Saccharomyces cerevisiae S288C: one gene and its partner. The protein of the gene in region 1 purifies or fractionates together with the protein of each later gene. This does not show direct contact. Each region holds a gene or a part of one and is shown in the gene's direction. Other genes may lie near its edges.

Region 1 (5,922 bases):
TTCCCCTACGATGACGGCATCTCCCAATTGGAATTGCAAGATCTATATGTGTTGGGGTTCCAAGAAGTAGTCCCCATATGGCAAGGCTCCTTCCCTGCTGTTAATCGTGATTTAATCGATAGAATTACAACTACTGCGGTTAATTGTCTGAATGAAAAAGTGTCAGCTACACAAGGGGATGAGCAGTATTCATGTTTAGGGGTGAATAGTCTTGGGGCGATTACCATAATAGTATTATACAATAATAATGCGCTAAAGGTAAAAGATGATATTTTGAAACGGAATGGGAAATGCGGTTGGTTTGGTACACACTTGAAAGGTGGAACTTTGATAAGTTTTCAGATGACACGCAATGGCGAGGAGAACTGGGAAAGATTTAGCTATATTTGTGCTCATTTAAATGCAAATGAAGGTGTCAACAATAGAAATCAAAGAATAGATGATTACAAACGAATAATGAGTGAAGTGTGTGATTCTGAGGTTGCAAAAAGCGACCACTTTTTCTTTCTAGGCGATTTGAATTTTAGGGTTACTAGTACTTATGATCCAACTACCAATTATTCGTCCACCACAACGTTAAGGCGTCTATTAGAAAATCATGAAGAACTAAATCTGCTACGTAAAGGAGAGGATGAACCGTTATGCAAAGGTTTTCAGGAGCTGAAGATAACATTTCCACCGACATACAAATTCAAGTTGTTTGAAAAGGAAACATATAATACAAAAAGAATCCCGTCGTGGTGCGATAGGATTCTCTACAAAAGCTATGCAGTGCCAACTTTCGCACAAGAAGGTACTTACCATTCCGTCCCTAGGTCCAATGCTCTATTATTTAGCGATCATCAACCCGTTAATCTTACCGTAAGATTACCAAGGTCTACAGGGACGCCAGTGCCGTTATCCTTACATATCGAAAAGTATCCTTTATCATGGAGCTCTGGCCTGATTGGACAAATTGGTGACGCAGTCATCGGGTACTGCGGTTGGCTAGTTACTAAGAATGTACATTATTGGATATTAGGTTCTTTACTATTATATTTACTATTAAAAATCCTGTAAAGTGATCTGGGCTGTCAGGCTAGAAGTTTTTCATTTATGTCTGAAACAGATAACGTCAGTTGTACCACTATCTTTGGTTTTATTCTTTTTATTTTCTCTTCCATATATCTTTACAGAACTTAAGTAATAATGAAAAAGAATGAAAAAAAAAAAAAAAAAAGAAAAACTAGTCAAAATTATTGCCATGAAAAAACAGGAAGAAGAGAGAGAAGAACATTAAAAAAAAAACTATCAATATTAGATTAACAAACCAATCAAAATGGAGGACTCTAATAATGAAGCCAGCGATGACTTCAACAACTTATTAAACAAAGAAATTGAGTCTGCAAAGGAAGTGAAGTTAAGAAAATTCGCGAACAGGAATAATAATAGGAACGAAAACAGTTCCAAAGTCAAAGATGCGAGTGGATTCAGACTGAGAGTTATTCAAACCGATGGGCACAAAACTAAAAAGACAGACCCTGATTATGAAGTGACAATTGATGGACCCTTAAGGAAGATTGAGCCTTATTTTTTCACTTATAAAACTTTCTGTAAGGAGAGGTGGAGAGATCGTAAGTTGGTGGATGTATTCGTGAGCGAATTCAGGGATCGAGAGCCCAGCTATTATTCCAAAACCATTGCAGAGGGAAAAGTATACTTAAACGATGAACCTGCAAACCTTGATACCATCATTCGTGACGGTGATCTGATCACACATAAAGTACATCGACATGAACCGCCAGTCACATCTAAACCAATAGATATTGTGTTTGAAGACGAAGATATCCTTGTCATTGATAAACCCAGCAGTATTCCAGTGCACCCAACGGGCAGATACAGATTCAATACCATTACAAAAATGCTAGAAAGACAGCTAGGTTATTCAGTACATCCATGTAATAGACTAGACAAGCCAACTAGTGGACTAATGTTTTTAGCCAAGACTCCATTAGGTGCAGATAGAATGGGAGACCAAATGAAAGCGAGGGAAGTCACCAAAGAATACGTAGCCCGCGTGAAGGGCGAGTTCCCTATAGGTATAGTAGAGGTAGATAAGCCTGTCAGATCTGTTAACCCTAAAGTTGCACTAAACGCTGTTTGCGAGATGAGCGATGAAAACGCTAAACATGCCAAGACCGTTTTCCAAAGGGTTAGCTATGATGGACAGACGAGTATTGTAAAGTGTAAACCATTGACAGGTAGAACTCACCAAATAAGAGTCCATTTGCAGTACTTGGGATTTCCCATAGCAAATGACCCTATATACTCGAACCCAGATATCTGGGGTCCAGATTTGGGCCGCGGTGGACTTCAAAACTATGATGACATCGTTCTGAAACTAGACGCTATTGGCAAGACTAATCCTGCAGAGAGCTGGATTCATCCTCATAGCGAGGGTGAATACTTGCTTGGCCGTCAGTGCGAAGAATGCGAGGCTGAAATGTACACAGATCCCGGTACTAATGATCTCGACCTCTGGCTGCATGCCTTCCGGTACGAGTCATTGGAAAGAAATTCGGATACGCAAAAACCTCTCTGGAGTTATAGAACAAAATACCCTGAATGGGCCTTAGAGCCACATCGCCGATATATGGAAATGGCCGTTAAGGAAGCTGGTAAGTGTGGCCCGACAAAGACTGCTTTTAGTGTTGGTGCCGTTCTTGTTCATGGAACTCAAGTACTTGCCACAGGATATTCAAGAGAGCTACCAGGAAACACTCATGCAGAACAGTGTGCTTTGATAAAGTACTCGCAGTTACACCCGAACTGTCCCACTATAGTCCCTATGGGAACAGTGCTCTATACAACCATGGAACCCTGTTCCTTCAGGCTAAGTGGCAATGAGCCTTGCTGCGATAGAATCCTGGCCACCCAAGGTGCCATTGGTACTGTCTTCGTGGGGGTTATGGAGCCCGATACATTTGTTAAAAACAATACAAGTTTGAACAAGCTGGAATCGCACGGTGTGAACTACATACAAATACCAGGCTACGAGGAGGAGTGCACCATCATTGCCTTCAAAGGCCACGATAATAGTGACGACAAAGCTTAGACTATTTAGCATATATATTATCATGTAATCTTACATCATATCTACAATAACCACTCATTACTGGAAACGGAAAAAGGCGCCACCGAAAATTTTGAGTAAAAAGAATGGAATTAACTTCAACCACAACACAGACAAAAAACACTAGATAGTGAACCAAAAGAAAGCACAACACCAAACATGAGCAGCATTCCAGCTGGCACTGATCCTGGGTCCTGCGGTGCTAATTTCAAGAATGACCGCAAGCGCAGAGATAAGATCAACGACCGTATTCAAGAACTATTGAGTATCATTCCCAAAGACTTCTTTAGAGATTATTACGGCAATTCTGGTAGCAATGACACGTTAAGTGAATCCACTCCCGGTGCGCTTGGGTTGTCCAGCAAGGCCAAAGGTACAGGGACCAAGGACGGAAAGCCCAACAAGGGCCAAATTCTCACACAGGCGGTAGAGTACATATCACATCTACAAAATCAAGTGGACACACAGAACAGAGAGGAGGTGGAACTGATGGTGAAGGCCACTCAGTTGGCCAAGCAGACAGGCACCATTGTCAACGATATAAACTTAGAGAACACCAGCGCTGAAGTCGCCCTGTCCAGGATTGGCGTGGGACCGCTGGCCGCAACAAATGATGACTCAGTAAGACCGCCAGCAAAGAGGTTGAGCTCCTTCGAGTACGGAGGGTATGGTGAGTACGGTAATGGTAGCTAAAAGTACTTCTGACTCTCACTATTGCTATGTTGTGATAACCCTCGTTGGTAGTGATACGAACACTTCTCTTCTTTTTTGTTGTTTTTGTGAGAAAAAAAAATCTAAATGAACATATTGCTAATGCAACGGATAGTTAGTTTTATTTTGGTGGTTAGTCAAGGGCGATACTTTCATGTTGGAGAGCTGACCATGACAATGTTGAAAAGACCTCAAGAAGAAGAGTCAGATAATAATGCTACGAAGAAGCTGAAAACGAGATTAACGTACCCTTGTATCCTCGGGAAGGATAAGGTGACGGGCAAATTCATCTTTCCTGCAATCACTAAAGATGATGTTATGAATGCAAGACTGTTTTTGAAGGACAACGATTTGAAAACTTTTTTAGAATATTTTTTGCCAGTGGAAGTCAACTCGATCTACATTTATTTCATGATAAAATTGCTGGGATTCGACGTCAAAGATAAAGAACTATTTATGGCGTTAAACTCTAATATCACTTCTAATAAAGAACGTTCTAGTGCGGAACTATCGTCTATACATGCAAAAGCTGAAGATGAGGACGAGTTGACCGATCCCTTAGAGAAAAAGCATGCAGTAAAATTAATCAAAGATTTACAAAAAGCCATAAATAAAGTCCTTAGTACAAGGCTTCGATTACCCAACTTCAATACGATTGATCATTTCACCGCCACTTTGCGTAACGCCAAAAAAATTTTGGTTCTGACGGGCGCTGGAGTTTCCACTTCTTTAGGTATTCCCGATTTTAGATCATCTGAGGGGTTTTATTCTAAGATCCGACACCTTGGATTGGAAGACCCTCAGGATGTTTTCAACTTGGATATATTCTTACAGGACCCTTCTGTTTTTTACAATATTGCCCATATGGTTTTACCACCAGAGAACATGTATTCTCCGTTGCACAGCTTCATTAAAATGCTACAAGACAAGGGCAAACTATTAAGAAACTACACACAGAATATAGATAACTTAGAATCGTATGCAGGGATAGATCCTGATAAATTAGTGCAATGTCACGGTTCATTCGCCACTGCATCTTGTGTGACTTGCCATTGGCAAATACCTGGTGAGAAAATATTCGAAAATATTAGAAACCTTGAACTACCATTATGTCCCTACTGTTATCAAAAAAGAAAACAATATTTTCCTATGAGTAATGGCAATAATACGGTGCAAACAAACATAAATTTCAACTCACCCATTTTAAAGTCGTATGGTGTTTTGAAACCAGACATGACATTTTTTGGCGAGGCCCTGCCATCGCGATTTCATAAGACCATCCGCAAAGATATACTGGAATGCGATCTATTGATTTGTATAGGAACAAGTTTGAAAGTGGCTCCTGTGTCTGAAATTGTCAATATGGTACCTTCACATGTTCCGCAGATTTTGATCAATAGGGATATGGTTACACATGCAGAGTTTGACTTAAACCTGTTGGGATTCTGTGATGACGTGGCCAGTCTCGTAGCTAAAAAATGCCATTGGGATATACCGCATAAAAAATGGCAAGATCTAAAGAAGATAGATTACAACTGTACGGAAATAGATAAAGGTACGTATAAGATTAAGAAACAGCCACGAAAGAAACAACAGTAAATTCCAAAAAAAAAAAAAAAAAAAAAAAGAAGAAAACACAGAAGGGGGAGTAAAAATAAGTATACCGCTGCTATTGCATATATTCGAGCATTTCATTCATGTATTTATTAATATGACCAGATAATAAAGAATATTCAATCTCAATTTCTTTAACTTCAACTTCGAAATCTTTTTGTAATTGTTTAATTTCATCATTTAATTTATTGATTTTACCACTGATCAGTTCCTCTTGAATGAAAATGTCCGTTTTGTCAATCTTAGGTTTGATTTCATTTTCATATTTGATTTGTAGATCCATCAATTTAGTATCATTTAGGCGCGACTCTTCTTTAGTATCTTGCGATAGCTTTTCCAAATTCTTGAGTTGCAAATCTAACTGTTCTTGTAAGATTTCTAATTTATACATAATACCTGTTTCCAATACATTCATCAATTTCAGCTTATTGTTGATTAAATTTTGCTTTAATCCCACAAGTTCCGTTTCAGTTCGATTAGACTCT
Region 2 (4,100 bases), 640 kb from region 1:
AAAAAAGAAAAGGTTATATGATCGACCTGAAGAAATCTGCAGTACAAGATAACGCCTTCGAGTAAACATCACTGAGAAGAAAGGCATATTCAGCAGACATAATGCAGAATGAACCAATGTTTCAGGTCCAGGTGGACGAATCTGAAGACAGTGAATGGAACGATATTTTAAGAGCGAAGGGTGTAATACCAGAACGTGCACCTTCGCCCACTGCAAAGTTAGAAGAAGCATTAGAAGAAGCAATTGCCAAGCAGCATGAAAATAGACTAGAAGATAAAGACTTGTCGGATTTGGAAGAACTAGAAGACGATGAAGATGAAGATTTCTTGGAAGCTTACAAGATCAAAAGATTAAATGAAATCCGCAAATTACAGGAACGTTCCAAATTTGGAGAAGTTTTCCACATTAACAAACCTGAATACAACAAAGAGGTTACTTTGGCCAGTCAGGGAAAGAAATATGAAGGTGCACAAACCAATGACAATGGTGAAGAGGATGACGGTGGTGTCTACGTATTCGTTCATCTCTCGCTTCAAAGTAAACTACAAAGCAGAATTCTGTCTCATCTTTTCCAATCTGCTGCATGCAAATTCAGAGAAATAAAATTTGTAGAAATACCTGCCAATAGAGCAATTGAAAACTATCCCGAATCCAATTGCCCGACATTAATTGTATATTACCGGGGTGAGGTAATCAAAAACATGATAACGCTACTAGAACTGGGTGGTAATAATTCCAAGATGGAAGACTTTGAAGATTTTATGGTAAAAGTTGGCGCTGTTGCAGAAGGAGACAACAGACTGATAATGAACCGAGACGATGAAGAATCCAGGGAAGAGAGAAAATTGCATTACGGTGAAAAAAAATCGATCAGGTCAGGTATTAGAGGAAAATTTAATGTCGGCATAGGTGGAAATGATGATGGCAACATTAATGATGATGATGATGGATTTTTTGACTAAATAGTGCGAATATTCCTTATTTACAGGCTAAGTGGTGTCACTATCCCCATTATTTAATATATACAGATATAAAGAACAGCAAACTTTGTCATGTACTTCTCTGAATGTTTACGCGAGGATTACGGTATGTATGATTGAACATCGCTGCAGCATGGATTTTAGTAAGAGCCGTTGTCATGGCAACCAATTAAAGCTCTTTAATTACCGTCAAGCATACTTAGGATACAGATACAATAAAACCCCTTATTAAGTTCGAGCAGGCACATCTTGACAGAATAAACCTTTTAAATCGTCATATGGAGCATGGTCTGGTATCAAGTTTTACTACTTTTTCGCTTTGTTGTCAGAGGATAGAAATTTACTTTTTCTAGTTGTGCGTATAAAGAACACTATGGATGCAGTAATACAGAAAGTAATCTGTTCTACTTCGGTGCATTTTCAAACTGAATTCTACCACAAACCCCAGAATTATTATTATGAGTGAAAAGAAGAAAGTTCTAATGCTACATGGTTTTGTCCAATCCGATAAGATATTTTCTGCGAAGACTGGAGGATTACGAAAGAATTTGAAGAAGTTAGGTTACGATTTATACTATCCTTGCGCCCCACATTCAATTGATAAAAAAGCGTTATTCCAATCAGAGTCAGAAAAGGGTAGAGATGCTGCGAAGGAATTCAACACCTCAGCGACTAGTGATGAAGTATACGGGTGGTTCTTTAGAAATCCCGAATCTTTCAATTCCTTTCAAATAGATCAAAAGGTGTTTAACTATTTACGTAACTACGTGCTAGAAAATGGACCATTTGATGGTGTCATTGGATTCAGCCAAGGTGCAGGTCTTGGGGGCTACTTAGTCACTGACTTTAACAGAATATTAAATCTTACTGATGAACAACAGCCCGCTTTAAAATTTTTTATTTCATTTAGTGGATTCAAATTAGAAGATCAATCCTACCAGAAAGAATATCATAGGATTATCCAGGTGCCCTCTCTACATGTAAGGGGGGAGTTAGATGAAGTTGTAGCAGAATCTAGAATCATGGCATTGTACGAGTCATGGCCCGATAACAAAAGGACATTGTTGGTTCATCCTGGAGCCCATTTTGTCCCAAACTCGAAACCATTCGTATCCCAAGTTTGCAATTGGATCCAAGGAATTACTAGCAAAGAGGGTCAAGAGCATAATGCCCAACCTGAAGTAGATCGGAAACAATTTGACAAACCTCAATTGGAAGATGATTTGTTAGATATGATCGATTCCTTGGGTAAATTGTAATTCGATAATTGATATTTATATGAGCTACATACAATTTTTATAAAACTATTGAAAATATCGACGAGAAAAAGGAATAGTGTGACTTTTCTGCCGCCTTCTTTGACGTTTGATTTTCTATACCTGATTTATATCTGTTGCTAAAGAAAGAATTTTCGCGGCACACGAATGATATATATTTAACGTAAGGATTTCTTTTATCTGGCGGAAGTATCTCAATATATTAATATTAAACGCTGTTGAACACTATCCTAGGAACACTGACAGCTAGAAGTGATCATAAGACATTGCATATAAAATAACTATTAATTTTAATTAAAAGAATTTAATTAGAACAACAGGAAGGTGTTATAAGAAAGTGCGAATGAGTACAAATACGGAAATCATAAAAAATAGTGATTTGCAAAGTTTAATCAATGATAAGAGGAGGTTAATAAATGAAATAAAAGACTTTAATAAATCCATTAAACCCTTGGAGTTTGAATCGTATCAGGATTATTTCCTGATAAAAACGTTCAAAAAAGGAATATCTGCAAGTGGCCATGTGGATATTGACAGTTTAAGAAATAAAGAATATGGAATATACTACAAGAAAATCAAGAGGAACTCTACACAAGAAGTCGGCGAACCAATCCCTCGCAACACATCCTCCTCCTCCTCTTCTACTAGATCAAACTCATCAGCTGATATCAGCGATACAGAATATTCAGGTGAGAACACTCCTACAACTACTGGTGCTGCCAGTCGAAGAAGACGTACGAGATCTCGAGCTATTCAAAGAGAAAATAGTCTACCAGCATCTTTACCCTCAATTAGTGAAGCGAATGCAAACAATGATGATGTTACTATTTCTGAAATAAATGGAAGTGAATTGCCATTTCCAATTCCAATATCAGAAGTGGAAAATATTGACATTGCTTCAGATATAACTGAAAGGGATGGTATTAGAAGGAGATCATCAAGGATATCAGAAAGAGACAAAAGACGTTCACAGTCTAGACTGGGGTCAGAAGAAGATGAAGAAGGCGACGGACATGACGGAGATGAAGGGGAGACCAAAATCCAAGACCTATATGAGAGTTTGGTACCCAAAATTTTGGAGTCACGTAGAAGGTCTGATTGGATCCTCCCTCCTAAGGCAAGATATACACCAGAAAAGCAAATGAGGACCAAACCGTCATTCAAGAGCATAAAGATTAATGAACTTGTCGGGAATAAAAGAATACGAAGTATATTATCTAGATTTGAAGGTGGTGTAGCGGGTATACGCAAAAGAGATTGGGACTCTACCCAATAGCTTCTTTGAAGAAGTAAATAAATATAAATAGAGAGAAATATGACGTATCAATATTATTTATGGCGCTGGTATAATTCAATAGCATCTAATAGCGACTTGGGGTCCGGTTTTGGACTGACCACATCAGAGGTTACATCATTATCATCCAGATATTTTTTAGTGGTAGGTCCGATGGACGCAACCCGTAGATGGGAACCTGGTAGGCGGTTACTGTCACCCAAATACTGAGTAATTTCTTTCGTTCCCTGGGGACTGAAAACTACCACCCAGTCCGAGAATACTTCATCCTCATCGCATTCTTTCATGGCGTGTATGAATCTTTTAAAACCGTCGCTTAATTCTTCAGTTTTATAAGTAACCACTTCTCTTACTTTTATTCCCTTGCTATGGAGTTTCTTTGGGATGATATCTCTTCTAATTTCACCCACGAGAAATAATAGTTCACTTGGTGGGCATGCCTTAATATCCGTACTCAAGTCATCAATAATTATATCAGCAAGGATTGAACCATTACCAGCGTCTTCTCCACCTTTAACATTAATGAAACCTGATCTTCTGATGAAGTTA

What was found. Proteins that work in one complex are often made in the same cells at the same time.
Region 2: the proteins of HST1 (region 1) and RFM1 purify together in Saccharomyces cerevisiae (affinity purification with western blotting; 4 studies listed by BioGRID, with this or other methods). This does not show direct contact.

What each region holds. Positions count from the first base shown.
Region 1 is NC_001147.6:199,868-205,789, reverse strand, and holds HST1 (histone deacetylase HST1), read left to right. Parts: upstream 1-3,910; coding exon 3,911-5,422; downstream 5,423-5,922. Other genes in the region: phosphoinositide 5-phosphatase INP54, read left to right, coding at 1-1,059; bifunctional DRAP deaminase/tRNA pseudouridine synthase RIB2, read left to right, coding at 1,319-3,094; RTG1 (Rtg1p), read left to right, coding at 3,272-3,805; kinetochore-associated Ndc80 complex subunit NUF2, read right to left, coding at 5,493-5,922. UniProt on the Saccharomyces cerevisiae protein: NAD-dependent histone deacetylase involved in telomeric silencing.
Region 2 is NC_001147.6:843,131-847,230, reverse strand, and holds RFM1 (Rfm1p), read left to right. Parts: upstream 1-2,600; coding exon 2,601-3,533; downstream 3,534-4,100. Other genes in the region: PLP2 (Plp2p), read left to right, coding at 102-962; FSH3 (putative serine hydrolase), read left to right, coding at 1,439-2,239; uroporphyrinogen-III synthase HEM4, read right to left, coding at 3,587-4,100. UniProt on the Saccharomyces cerevisiae protein: Tethering factor required for histone deacetylase HST1-mediated repression. Probably involved in targeting HST1 to a subset of SUM1-regulated genes.